Linked DNA regions of Caenorhabditis elegans. The protein of the gene in region 1 interacts with the protein of each later gene in a pairwise test. Each region holds a gene or a part of one and is shown on either strand. Other genes may lie near its edges.

Region 1 (4,521 bases):
CGATGCAAGTTCGCGCGATTCAGAGTTTTCCCCAGAACAACCAGGTTGCACCTCCATTTCAACAGTTTGATCCTAGACGCCGCGGATTAGCCCGAATGCAGAAACCAGAATCATACAAGACTGTGATCTGCCAAGCTTGGCTCGAATCTAAGACTTGTTCTTTCGCAGACAACTGCCGGTTTGCACATGGAGAGGAGGAACTTCGTCCAACATTGTAAGAATGAAGCAAACAAATTATGTTAATTCCAATTTTTAGCGTCGAGCCGCTGCAGAACAATAAGTATAAAACGAAACTCTGTGACAAATATACGACTACAGGACTCTGCCCATACGGGAAACGGTGCCTTTTCATTCATCCCGATCATGGACCAAACGCATACATTCGCGCTGATAAACTTCTTGAAGTCAGAAGAAAACATGTATTTTTGCTCACTGTAAACATTTTCAGGTTTCTCAACGCCATGCATTGGCTGACATTCGTGATCAAATGGAGCAGCACATCATGACTAATGGTCGCATTGCAGCTCCCCCGCTTTCTGCCATTCAGCATCCTTTAGAAATGTTTGCCAGGCCATCAACTCCAGATGAGCCAGCGGCTAAATTGCCACTAGGACCAACTCCTGTTAGTACTCGTGGTCCAAGATATGAGCTACCAACGAAGGAATTGCATGACGCGGAAGGTAAAAATTGGCAGCTAGTTGCAATTAATGACCTCTGTTTTAGGTGCGATGACCTATCCACCGTCTCGCTGGCCATTGGATCCATCGATGTTTGCTCTAGACGCTTGGAATATGGCACATCGGCCAGCTAGTCCACTCGATTCGATGGTTTTGGGTTCCGCTCCAAATGCTGGCTCGTTCGGAATGCTCGGAAAGCAAAATACTCCTGGAGGAGTTTCTGGATATTCATCTGCTGGATCCACGCCTTCTCAGGATCTCAGTTCTTCGTCACTCAATGCAGCATCCGCAGCTGCCGCTGCTGCATATTTCGCAAATTCTGCTGTTGCTCAATCTCTTCTGATGAAATCTGTCGCAACTGATCCAATGATGTCATGTAACGGACCATTCTCTCCAATGCCAGGATTCGATCAATTGGCCGAAAATATGACCAAGCATCTCAATTTGTGGTGAACAACTTCTCTACATTTGTCAAATTTTTAAACACTTTCAATATTCGTGTCCCCCATACTAACTAATAATGCGTGCATTTGTGAATATAATAAGTTTTAGTCGACGTGTTCTTGTCCCATAGAAACTTGGCCCAATCGTCAAAAGCGCCCATTCCCATTTTAAATTCTCGAAATTAATATCGAATCTTGTGATGTATATTGTAATTCATCGAATCATTGAATGTATTCCAATTTTCACCGCTCGAGTTCCCGATTGCCTTCTGTCTCACTAATCCCTTCCCCAATCTCAAAATAAATTGCACCTGCCACGGATCATAATTGTGATTCTTTTTTTCTATCTTTCTTTCTTCTCAATGGCTCCGATACTGCCCGTACGTATTTTTCTTTCGTTTCTTTGTTCATTTAAAATTTTTATCCGAAATTTCCTTCTTGATCCTCATTGCAGGATGTAGTAAATTTTTTTGATCGATTCAATTTTCAAATTTATTGAAAATCAGGTTATATGTTCCAACACGAAAACTATCTAAGTACGTACCATGAAAAAGCAAAATAATATTGCAATTCAAGTTAGCTTTGTTCTCAATATGAGAACATTACGGTTTTAAAGACTTTATATGCATGCATGTTAATTAGTTTTTTCCCAACCGTTTAACCGATAATAATACATTTATTTTTTTAAATTTTAAGCTTCGCGTTCTTGACTAGGTCATAAATTGTCGATATTTATAAAACTGTTAATTGTGGGTAAGCTTGATCAATCACTTGATTAAATCAAAAGTGTCTAGGCTCTATTCAAAATATGCGCCAGTCAACACTATTTGCGCATTTTCAGTGCGTTTGCGCTTATTCTGTTGAACACTTGCTTTACAAACTCGCCCTGCCTTTTGTTGTTCTACTAAACAAGCTCTCTTTGCCGTTAATCTTCAATTTTTTCAGTTAAAATATGAGCGAAGAGCCGGCTGCAAAGCGAATGAAAAATGCCGATGAGTTCCCAAATCTCCGATCCGAAGTAGCTGGTCCCGTGAAGGAAAAGCTAATCGAACTAGACGCCATTCAGCACCAACTAGATGTGATGAGTGAAAACGCTGCCGAAGAAGTTTTGAAAGTCGAGCAGATTTTCAATCAGAAACGTCTTCCGATTTATGAAAAAAGAAAGAAGCTGACAACAAAAATCGACAATTTCTGGCAGACTGCTTTTCTCAATCATCATCTTCTTTCAACTGCTATTCCGGAAGAACAAGAGGACTTGTTAGCCGCTCTGCGAGATCTTGAAGTGCAAGAATTTGAAGATCTTCGCAGTGGATTCAAAATAATTATGACATTTGACCCGAATGAGTACTTCACAAACGAAGTAATTACAAAGTCGTATCATCTGCAATCTGAGTCACCGAGCACCGAAATTACCGAAATCGAGTGGAAGGAGAACAAGAAACCGCCATTCGTGAGTTTATCTTTATAATCCCTATTGTTTTAATCGAATTTTTTCTAAAACTTTCGCAATGTAACTCTTCCAGAAGCCGGAAGACGGAGATTCAGCTCACACGTTTCTTGAATGGCTCACGTACGCAGCACTACCAGACAGTGATGAGATTGCTGAAGTGATCAAAGACGATCTGTACGTCAATCCTTTGCAGTACTACGTGATGCCCGACATGCAGGAAGTTGAAGAAGACGATATCGAAGACTTTCTGAATGAGGAGCGCGGTGTAGATGAGGTATTAGAAACACCATTATGAGGCTACTGGATTTTTGAACAATTTTCAGAATGGACAAAGGATTCCTCGTCGGAACATAAGTGATTCACTGAAGGTTGATCAAGATGAAAGTGCGGATGGGCAAGAAGGAGAGGATGAAGAAGAGGAAGATATGGGAGAAGAAGAAGAAGATGGTGTTGAAGAAGAAGCGGAGGGTGAAGAAGAAGAAGAGGATGGAGCAATTGAAGAAGAAGGTGGTGATGAGAATGTTGAAGCACACGTTGCAGTCAACCCCGAGAACACTGCAGAGTAGCTTGTGAAGCTGAAATTTGTTGCATACTAATTTATTATTCCCACCGTGTGTTATAATTGTCATTTTTATCATTTATCAATCGATCCCGTTTTTGTAAGTATTTATTCACTGCCGAGTATTTTTGCGGCTCTATCTTCAGCTTGATTGTATTCCTATATGTTTTTGACATGATTCCAAGTATATTCGAATCAAATGAAAGATCTGCATTGAATACCGTCTAAGAGTCCTACAAAACAAATGGTAATTGGCCGCGAAGTTTCCTTTTCACGTAGTTCTTGAACAGTTCAATCTACTAACTTGCTCATTCGCCTCTTTTCAGATGTTGCTCACATGTCGTTTCACAGCAGCAACTTCTAGATTATCGGCGTGTACTCGGTCCTTTAGCATTGATTTTTCTCATGAAAAACCAGCACCTCACCAATTGGAGCATGTGACGACCCGTCTCACTGAAACTGTAAATTAAAAGTTTTTTGTGGGTTAACTGAAACAACTTGAAGGTTCCGCTCATGTTCCGCCGACGAATGGATTATACTTTTTATCGAAAAGACGTTGTTTGTGATGATCAAATTTTCTCAGTTGAAAAGCGAGGAATTGAACAGCTGATGAGCCATTTTGGAATGATTGGAACATTGGGACAGGTTTATCCAACCTTTTTTTTAGAACAATGTTTTTGAAAAGAAAATTGGCCAAGTCTTCGTTATCCAAGATTCAAAATCTTTTAGGTCTTCTTGCCACACGTGGAAATGGAAATGTTATCAGTAGCTCCAGTCATTGACGAAGGAACGGTTCGTTGTAGATGGAGAGTCAAATATGTGTCATTTACTCGAATTATTATGAATCCACGCCTTCTTCGATTTGATTATCGAATGCAAAATTTGAGTTGGTTTGATGGATACTCCGTTTTAACGGTCGATGGAAACGGAGAAGTTTATAAAGTGACATTGCAAAAAGTATTTGTTTCGAGATGTTCTTTAAAAATACATGTTATTTCAGATGCAACAAGACGAACAGAAAAGTCTGCTAACTTCGACTACCGAGAAGCTCAAAGAAAAATTGGCTCCTTCTGCTGCCAACAATTGATCTTTTGTGTCGGCATTAATTTTAGATTTTTACTCTATAAGACTAACATATAGATCTCGGTTTCAGTTACGATTGTAATCCTGTATCAGCTGCCACTATTTGTTTTTATTGTTTTTTTTTTACTTTTCAACAGTTTTTTCTTCCTTTTCGCCGAATGTTATGAATAAACATTGTCATGGGTTTATAATAATAATTTATAAACTTCGATGTTCCGTTTCGAGATAAATTTATTTCGCAACATGTGTTAAAATCAATTACATCGTAGAAGTTTCCAGCAAAATTCTTTAATTCTGATCAGGTGCAAA
Region 2 (8,835 bases), on another chromosome or scaffold:
TGGGCAAAATACTTGCAAAAAACGTTCTGCAGCATTTTATATAGTTTTCTGAGAAATTGCTTGAACGGTAACAATGAGCTTTAAAGTTCTCATATTTACCACGGTTGTACGATTTAACAAAAATCTCCATACACTTGGTGTCAGGTCTGGACAGTTCTGTTGCCACTTTGCTAAACAAGACAACTGTTTTCATTGAATTTCATTCCTACAAATACGACAGTAAAGTTTATATTTCCCTGTTCTCTAGAACATGACATTAGAAACCATTCCCAACAATCGTTTGAAAAAGTTGCATTAGCAAGGAGAAGAATTTAATGTAAAGAGACAAGTAGATAAGGATCTTAAGTTGTTCGTTTAGTTCGTTTTTTCGGTGAATGATAGAATGAATACAAAAAGGTATTGAACTGTTCCGAAAAACTATTAGGAACTTCCCGAAATTAAGTTTTGAAAATAATCACAACTGATTTAACCATTTGGATTATCCAGTTGTTGAACCACATAATCACTTTTCTACTTGAAATCGTTGCCATGTTGCAAATCTAGATTGAGATTTAAATCTTCATTGGCTCCAGATTCTTGCCTCAAAAGATGTTTTGGAGAATGTTTGGTTCTTACCAAAAATTTTTGATTATGTACTAAAATGTAAAAAATGATTTTGATTTCCTATGATTTCCTATGACCTTTCAGTGTTTATTCTCAATTCGGATTGTTTAGCAAAAAAAAATTAGTTCCGGACAAGTCTGACACAAAACAATTTTATCACTGATCTGAAATTTGTCTCAACTTCTAATTGTAAGAAAAAGCTTGTGCGGTACATATTTGACTCCTGAGTAATATGGTTATACAGTTTTTGTTACTATCTTCCGAAAAACATCCCCCGCCGCACTATACATTCGGATACATGCGGCGACTTCATGAAAGCCCTAGTCTAATTGCGTTTTAATAAGAATTTATCCGGATGATCACTGTTTTATAAAGATTGCCAACTAAATTGATATTTTTTATAATTTTCACAAATAAGCGTACTGTATCAGCTCTAATTTGCCTCAAGAACTTGCACCACTATAAAAAATGAATTTCTCATGCGTCTAGAGCTCAAATTACGTTTCACTCATTCAGCCATGATTATATCAATGCAGATGTAGGCTACACGTTTAGTAGCTTCAGAGCAGCAGCAAGTCTATAAATACCCAAAAAAAATTGGAAAGCCTCTGAATCATTGTGTGTGTGTGAGTGAGCAAAAGTTCAGCTACAAAAATGGATTTTGATCTCTTGTTTTATGGCTTCAATTATCAACATTTTCAAATTTTAAATTATTTTTTCCCGAAATTTAAATTTTTCTGACTTTGAATTTTTGACTTTTTGGCGATTAAATGAAGCCATTTTTCGAAATATTTTTTTCTTGGCGAGAGAAAATAATTATATAGAGGAATGGTATAAAAAGTTCCAAATTTAAAGGGGGAGCTGGATGTTTTTCAAGAGAAAAGAGTACAGTAAGATTTTAATGAAAAATTTCTTTTCAGCTGGAGAAACTTAAAATTTTCTAAAAAACGGCACATTGCCGGAATTGAAAATTCCCGGCAAATCGGCAAATTGATTTTTGGAAATTTCTGAATTTCTACTTCAATTGGCAAAATTGAACGCGTCCTACAAATGTTCCTACATCTATTTTGAAAAGTAAGCAAATTCTATGAAAATATTGAAGAAAACGGGAAAAAATTTCAAAAAGGCAATCAAGTGTTTCCGTCTTATAAAAATTCCTCTAAACATTTCCGGCAAAGCTGATATTCGACGAAAGGCAATTTGGGAATACGCCAAAAATGAAAATTTCCGATAAATCGGCGAACCGCCAATTTGCCGATTTGCCGGATTTGTTGACAAAAAAATTGTCGAACGGCAATTGCCACCCACCGCCCACTGGCACTAATTTCAAATACTTTTCATAGCAAAATCCACCACAGGGACATTTCATAGTCAAAACAATAATTAAAATTAAAATTAAATGTTTTTTTTAAATTTTACTCTGACTGAAATTGATGACGAGAAGGTAAATATTCAAATTTCTCGTATAAGACAAACTTCTCCACAAAATCTATTTTCAGGTTACAAATCAATTAGAAAAAAATCCATTCATGCCGATTTTCTCATTCCTTTCCTCCTTTTTCTTTTCCTCCTTCATTCAATAGCAATAGCAATAAACTAAGTTTGTCTCAAGGTGGAATGTCCTGTAATGTAATGAACAGAAGAACTCCTATTCAGTTCTTCGTCTTCGTCTTCACCTGTCTTCAAGATCCTAATCTGCGAAATGATGGCAACCACATTTCACCATTCAGTTGCGAATTTCTTTCATCTGAATGTGAAGAGTTTCGTGTGTCTTCTTGAACCATTCGAATGAATTCGCTGGCAGCAATGCAGGAACTCAGCCAACTTGGCGGATATTTTCAAAAACTTGCTGCAGGTATTTGAAAATTTCAAACCGTTAAAAAATGAGCCCTTTTGATTCCGTGACAATTTCTGACGTTTTAAGCTAGACTTTTTTGAAAGAAATTTTTTTAAATAAACTTTAGAATATCTAACTGATTCTGACTCCAATTCAAAATAAAGAAGAGAGATTTTTCTTTGATATAGAACTACATTTTTCGCGTCAAAAAGTTTTTGACTTTTTTTTCTCGTTTTAAGAAACTTGTTATAACCTGAAACATGAATTTGAGTAGCGGACGCCTTGGGACGATCTTTTAAAACATACTAATTTTCTAATTTTCTTTGTGGATTATGTAAGTAAGCGTTGTAGAGTAAGTTACTCCTTTAAAGTAACAAACTATTGTATTATCTCAATAGTCTTGCAGCATCTATTGCTCTCACACCGCATTAGAGCATACAAGTCATTCGAAAATCATTTTTACGTGCAAGGAGATACTGTGCAATTCTTTCCGGCAAGTCGGCAAATTGCCGGAATTGAAATTTCCGGCAAATCGGTAAATTGCCGGGATTGAAAATTTCCGGCAAATCGTGCAAACCGGCTATTTTCCGATTTGCCGAATTTTTCCGAAAAAACGGCAATTGCCGTAAATGTTCGGCAAATTATAGCTTTGCACATTGTTTTTGGAAGTTGCCGGAATTGAAAATTAAAAAACAAAAAAATTTGCCGAACGGCACTTGCTGCTCTCCCCTGATACGTATGTATATCAATTTTTCATTGCTCTCTAAAAAGTGATGTCATTTTCTTGAAGATATTTTTCCCAGAAAGCTCGGAATCAATAATCGAAGCTGACTTTAAACTTAATTTCAAATGAAATTGTGACGTAGAAATTCTGGAACAATAGGGTTGATCACCATTACGAAATAGACTAGGTATGTCATCAATAAGTACGTCAGTTCTTTTTTTGCCTATTTATTCCCCACATGAGCGTCATCTAATACATGCTTACTCTATCAAAAACGAAAAATCGGTAAATATTTATGTGTAGGAGCACTTAGAAATATTAGAAAATCACCCGTACATTACCTGTGTGAGGATTTTCGGATGGTAATCCGGATTTGTCGGTGGGATAACGGGGTTGTGCCAGAGAAAAATGAGGATACCTTATTTTCGCGCTCACTTCAATTCCTATTCCATTTCACATCAACATCAAACATACAAATTCTACCTATTGCTTACAACTATTATCAGTATTTGATTATATGGATATCGATGAAAGAGGTTGATGTACACATGGTCTAATAACGCATGTTGTTTCAGATTTGAGAGTTGTAGTGATAGTTTAAGCGGCGAAACTAAACTTATCGCCATTTTTTTGGAATTTTTTTGAAAAACAATTTCAATGTTTTAGAGGTGTTTACTATATTAGGCAGATAAGCAATTCGGTTAGTTAAAAATTTTTTGGTAGGATTGAGTGAAAACTCTTAAAATTGCCGAAAAAGTAGTATTTGGGTTATTAAGATGCATCAACAGCGATTAGAGCTTGCAGAATATTTGAAGATGGAGTAGCACCAGTGGGGGAAGTGTTAAAAAGTACTCATAGGTGCCAAAATGACAGAATATCATAATAAAAAAAAAACTTTTCAAAAATTTTTTGAAATTTTTTTATTTACTGTCAAAAAGTGACAATTACTCAGTTTTTGCCACTCATAATTTTGGAAGTCGACCAAAAAATTTTTTTTCCTACTTTTTTATACTGCAATTTTGTTTTTATTATTTTTATTAAAACATTGTAGGGGTCGGAACATGCGACATTGCTTTGGATCTCCTTAAAAGCTCTTTTTTTTTTTGGCACTTTGCAAAAATTTGTCCGGAAATTATAAAAAATCTAAAACTTTTTGGAATGTATTATTATTATATTAAGTCGTTCTGGATCATTATAAATGTATTTAGACAAAATCCCCAATGGCGCTACTTCACCTTTAAGCTGAGCCATAAAATGTAGTATGCCAAGCGTTTCCAAAAAGAACAGAAAGAGTGTAAAATTAAAAATTCCAGGCGGATTCGTGATCAACCCATCTTCTTCTTCTTCCTCATCGAACAATTCCTCATCTAACACTTCTTCGTCCAATTTTCTATCTCCATATGAGTATCAAGAATCCTCGACCTCACCACGTGACACTACAGATTCATCTGGTGAATCCTCGTTGTCCTCTTCTGGCTCTTCATCTTCACTGAATGGTTCTTGTAATGTTGCAGCCAAGTTGATCAAGTTCCGCGGGCATAACGTCGCCGCTTTTGACATAAACGGCAAAGAAATGATTTGTTTGCCTCAGGTATGAGCTTTTTTTGTGAAAACGAAATAGTCTAGAAGACATGAGAAGTTTAGGTGTACGAGGTATTTCTCAAAAATATGGTAGGAGGACTTCATACGGTATACACTAAACTCAAACGGTTGTACATTCATCCGATGGTTTGCAATGTAGAACAGGTAAAAATTCTTGTCCACTAACAAATTTTAGAATAATTTGAAAATTCACCTGACTGACAATATTCTAAACCAATTAAATAACCCGTAAAAGAATCTGATGTTTAATCTCTTTTTTAAAGAAAATAAAAATCTCTCATAATCCGCATGCAAATACGGATATTTTATCGTTATCCTTCTATAAAATCTCCACCATCCACGACTTTTAGGTGCGCGCCCTTCGATCACTTGGAGCTATCCAGCCGGGTGTCAACCGATGTAAACTACTCAAGACTTCGGATTTCGAGAAACTCTATGACGATTGTACAAGCACTTGGTGGGCGTTTTTACTTTTTGGGATCATCAGGTGATGAAAGTGTCATATTTCCAAAGTAGCATCAAACTTGGCTTGGAAATTTTGATTTCTGATAACTCTGTCAAGTCAGGCGAATGCTATTACGCTATTACTATGCGCTTAGCTTCATAAGATAGAGGTTTTTTCACTTCCTATTTTCCAAGCTACAGAAGAAACTACGACAAGTTATTTTACTTTGAAAAAAATGGATTTTCCAGTTGGTAGAAGATTGGTTTTTTATGAAGAGTATGATATGGAGAGTTTTAAACCTCCTACCGAAGAAACAACTTCTGACAGGTGATTTCTAAGGTGTTTCACGAGAATTGTTTCCTTATCACTTACATTAGGGATCCCAGCTGAAATGCGGGCCTCACGTCGACGCCGCTGTGTGTGCACAACGGTGTGCGAAAAGCTAATTATTTGGAAGCGGCCGACACATTCGGGGTTCAGCGCGGCACTATACATTCGGATAAATGAGGCGTGATTGACGCCGTGAGGCTGGCGCAGGCGACGTGGCGGCGACCTCATGGGAGCCAGAGGTGGGCAGATATTTTTTCGGATATTTTCTAATAATGAATTTATCAATTAATATTGATGTAGTTATTCTGGAAGAAATGTATCCGAACCAAAGAGTGGGGGGGGGGGGGGGGCCTATTAAGCAACATTTTAATATGATAAAACCTAGAAAAATTCTACAAGTTTTCCTTACCGAGACCTTAAAACTTATTAGCCGAGCAACATCGGATATCGGATATTACGGATATCGGATAATGGACTTGCATATCGTTTATACAGAAAACTTGTAGAATTTTCCTAGGTTTTATCATATTAAAATGTTGCTTAATAGTTACTCTTTTGTTCGGATACATTTCTTCCAGAATAACTACATCAATACTTATTGATAAATTCATTATTAGAAAATATCCGAAAAAAATATCCGCCCACCTCTGATGGGAGCCCTATTGCAAAAAGCGTCCCTCCTGGATGAAGATTTACCAAGGTTAACCCGGTTTTCGTAGAAGTTTAGCATAAAGGATCAAACTTTAAATGATTGACTGCTACTGTTGAGTACGTAGTTTTGGGAAAAAATAGCTCTAGTAAATATATTAGCAAATCATTAGAGCATTAGTTCAGAGATTCAATAGGCACTAATAGTTGAAATTAATGTCCCGAAAACATTGCTCCTGAATTTCAAAAAAATCATTAAATTTAAGAAGTACATCTAAATATTACTAATCCTTCGCTTTCAGTACCCGCCCTGGGCGCCCATCAAAAAGAAGCTTTGATGATTGGAATAACGGCGCAGTAATAATTAAGAAAGATAAAACGGATTCAGGTAAACTTTTCACAGATATACTCGATTAATTCAATTTTTTAGAGCCTGTGAATGGGCCCGTATTCAACCAACTAATGCAACCGCAAATGACGCCTCAACAAATTTTGATGCAACACTTTGTTGCGCTTTCTCAGAAGACGAAAAATAGTTTTGAGAGGTTAGTCGAGTCATTTTCTATTGTTCATAACTTCAGCAATGTTTAGAGCAGATGATGATGATCAAAATCAGAGAGACGCTGATGATATAACGCCATTGAATCTAAGTAAAAGTGGAGGAAATTCTGAGAATGACTCAGATTCTTTAGAAAATATGAGAAAAGAAGATGTGAGGCACACATTTATAGTTTGTTTGCATCCAACCTTAAACATTTTAGTCCTCACCAAACACGTCTGTTAGTGATCGTGGTGGCTCCAACTCAAATTCATTGTCAATGTCAATGGAGGCTGGGAGTAGTAGTAGTAGTGGCAAAAACGATGAAGCTTCTATGATGAATAAAGTAATGTCCTTAATTGAACTTGCTAGCCAACAGTTCAAGCATGAAAGAGAAGAGCTATGGAAAGAGCGAAGTGAGTTTTGGACTATATTCTTCTTGAATAACACATGGTTCATTGCAAGGGTCCTACATTTCCAAACATTTTAAAACTATTCTTGTCACTTATTTCTCAAGACCTGATAACTGTAAAGTATTTTTACTAATCCTACTTTTTTGATCTCCAATGCCTTCCATGACTAATCGTGAATAAGGTTTCAGACAAATCTCTCTTTTTCTGAAATTCCACTCTTTTGAAATGTATTTCAAGTCTAATCCGGTATTTTACTTATTAAGGGAAGCCAAATGAAACCAATATTATTTTGAAACATTTTAATGAATGATATCAGTTTTTTCTTACAATAAGTGAATATGTTTTGAACGGATAGGGCGAATTTTTGATTGATATAACAACAAAAAAAAACTACGTAGCAAAAATAATTCAAAAAATAAGTTTTCAGGCGAAATACAAGTTCTTCGAGAGAGTTTTCACAAGATTGTGCAAGAAGAACGCGATTTGCGCAAAAAGCTCGAAACTCAGAACAAGAAATGCACGGCTTTCGAAAAACGCTACAAATATGTCAAAAAACAACTATTGCTGGCGAATGCGGACCTGAGAAGATATAAGGAAAAGGAGGAGCAGTCTTCGGACGGAAATTCTGTGGAACTTTGAAGCTTTTTTTTTGAAATCAATTCAATTTTTTTCAGAATTACGAACTAAGTATTTTTGTGTAGAAAAAAGCACTAAATAAACTGTCATATGAAATTGCGATTTTGTTGACAAAAAATGGAAGACAATAGAAATTACATTTTCGCGTATTCCGATTCTTTCATCTTCCGATTCCAACCGTTTTTCGTAAGACTCCCATGAGGTCGCCGCAACGGCACCCGCGCCAGCCTGAATTTTTTAAGCATATTTTTCAACAACCAGGAGGATTTTTTCAGCAACCAGGAGGACTCCACAGTGGTAAACTTCTTTCGAGATTTTTAAAAGATCCAGAAATCAAAATTTTGATTTTTTGCGGGCATGAGATGATGGATTATCCTCCCCCAGCCTCCCCACATATTGAATGATCGGAATCTGCGGGGCGCTTCACTGACTGACACAGGAAATAATTCATCATATTTGTTGTGTTGGGATAAGCATTGACAAGATGGATCACAAGTGGCGAACTTTGGTTTTTTAAGACGGCTGATGGGATATCTAGAGTGCGTCGGAAAGTTAACAGTGTATGTTTGACTATTGTTGCTCCCCTGCAACAATAACACTGATTTTCCGCACTTTCAGAATGAATCTGGTCAAAATTTGAATGCATCAAAATTCGACTATTACTGATTACCTCTAAAGTGTTAAAATTCGTTGAATTTTTTTCTGAAAACCAAATATGATTTATTTTGACTACTTGAAAGCGATAAGAATTGGCTTGTGTAATTCGTATATGAACCTTGTTGTGAAAAAATTCCAGATAAAAACTGAAATGGACCTCTCTAAGTACTCGTTAGCTATATCAGAAAGGATCGGAAACTTTTCAAATCAACAAAATTTGTTTCGATCACAACGTGTCTTGTGCACAAAGTCCAACAGGATTGCTTGACCACAACAATATCGTTTTTTTTTCATTATTTTTCCACCAGAAAGATATCAAAAAGCGTGATGGAAAAAAGAAATGCCAACTGTTTTATATCTTCCCAAATTTTCCCCTTCTCTCAATCCACACTTCTCTTTTCT

What was found. The genes of interacting proteins can lie anywhere in the genome.
Region 2: the proteins of spr-2 (region 1) and dac-1 interact in a two-hybrid assay, tested with the Caenorhabditis elegans proteins (2 studies listed by BioGRID).

What each region holds. Positions count from the first base shown.
Region 1 is NC_003282.8:8,889,403-8,893,923, forward strand, and holds spr-2 (Suppressor of presenilin-2), read left to right. Parts: upstream 1-2,059; 5' UTR 2,060-2,072; coding exon 2,073-2,570; intron 2,571-2,643; coding exon 2,644-2,844; intron 2,845-2,893; coding exon 2,894-3,136; 3' UTR 3,137-3,341; downstream 3,342-4,521. Other genes in the region: CCCH-type zinc finger protein oma-1, read left to right, coding at 1-214, 257-404, 449-680, 724-1,130; C27B7.2 (Phospholipid scramblase), read left to right, coding at 3,456-3,590, 3,634-3,774, 3,859-4,086, 4,130-4,216.
Region 2 is NC_003281.10:813,862-822,696, forward strand, and holds dac-1 (Dachshund homolog dac-1), read left to right. Parts: upstream 1-2,283; 5' UTR 2,284-2,409; coding exon 2,410-2,458; intron 2,459-3,608; exon of another isoform or gene 3,609-3,700; intron 3,701-4,477; coding exon 4,478-4,755; intron 4,756-4,808; coding exon 4,809-4,910; intron 4,911-5,116; coding exon 5,117-5,223; intron 5,224-6,491; coding exon 6,492-6,577; intron 6,578-6,619; coding exon 6,620-6,734; intron 6,735-6,780; coding exon 6,781-6,901; intron 6,902-6,950; coding exon 6,951-7,143; intron 7,144-7,187; exon of another isoform or gene 7,188-7,208; intron 7,209-7,567; coding exon 7,568-7,779; 3' UTR 7,780-7,869; downstream 7,870-8,835. UniProt on the Caenorhabditis elegans protein: Transcription factor. Plays a role in the thermotactic response.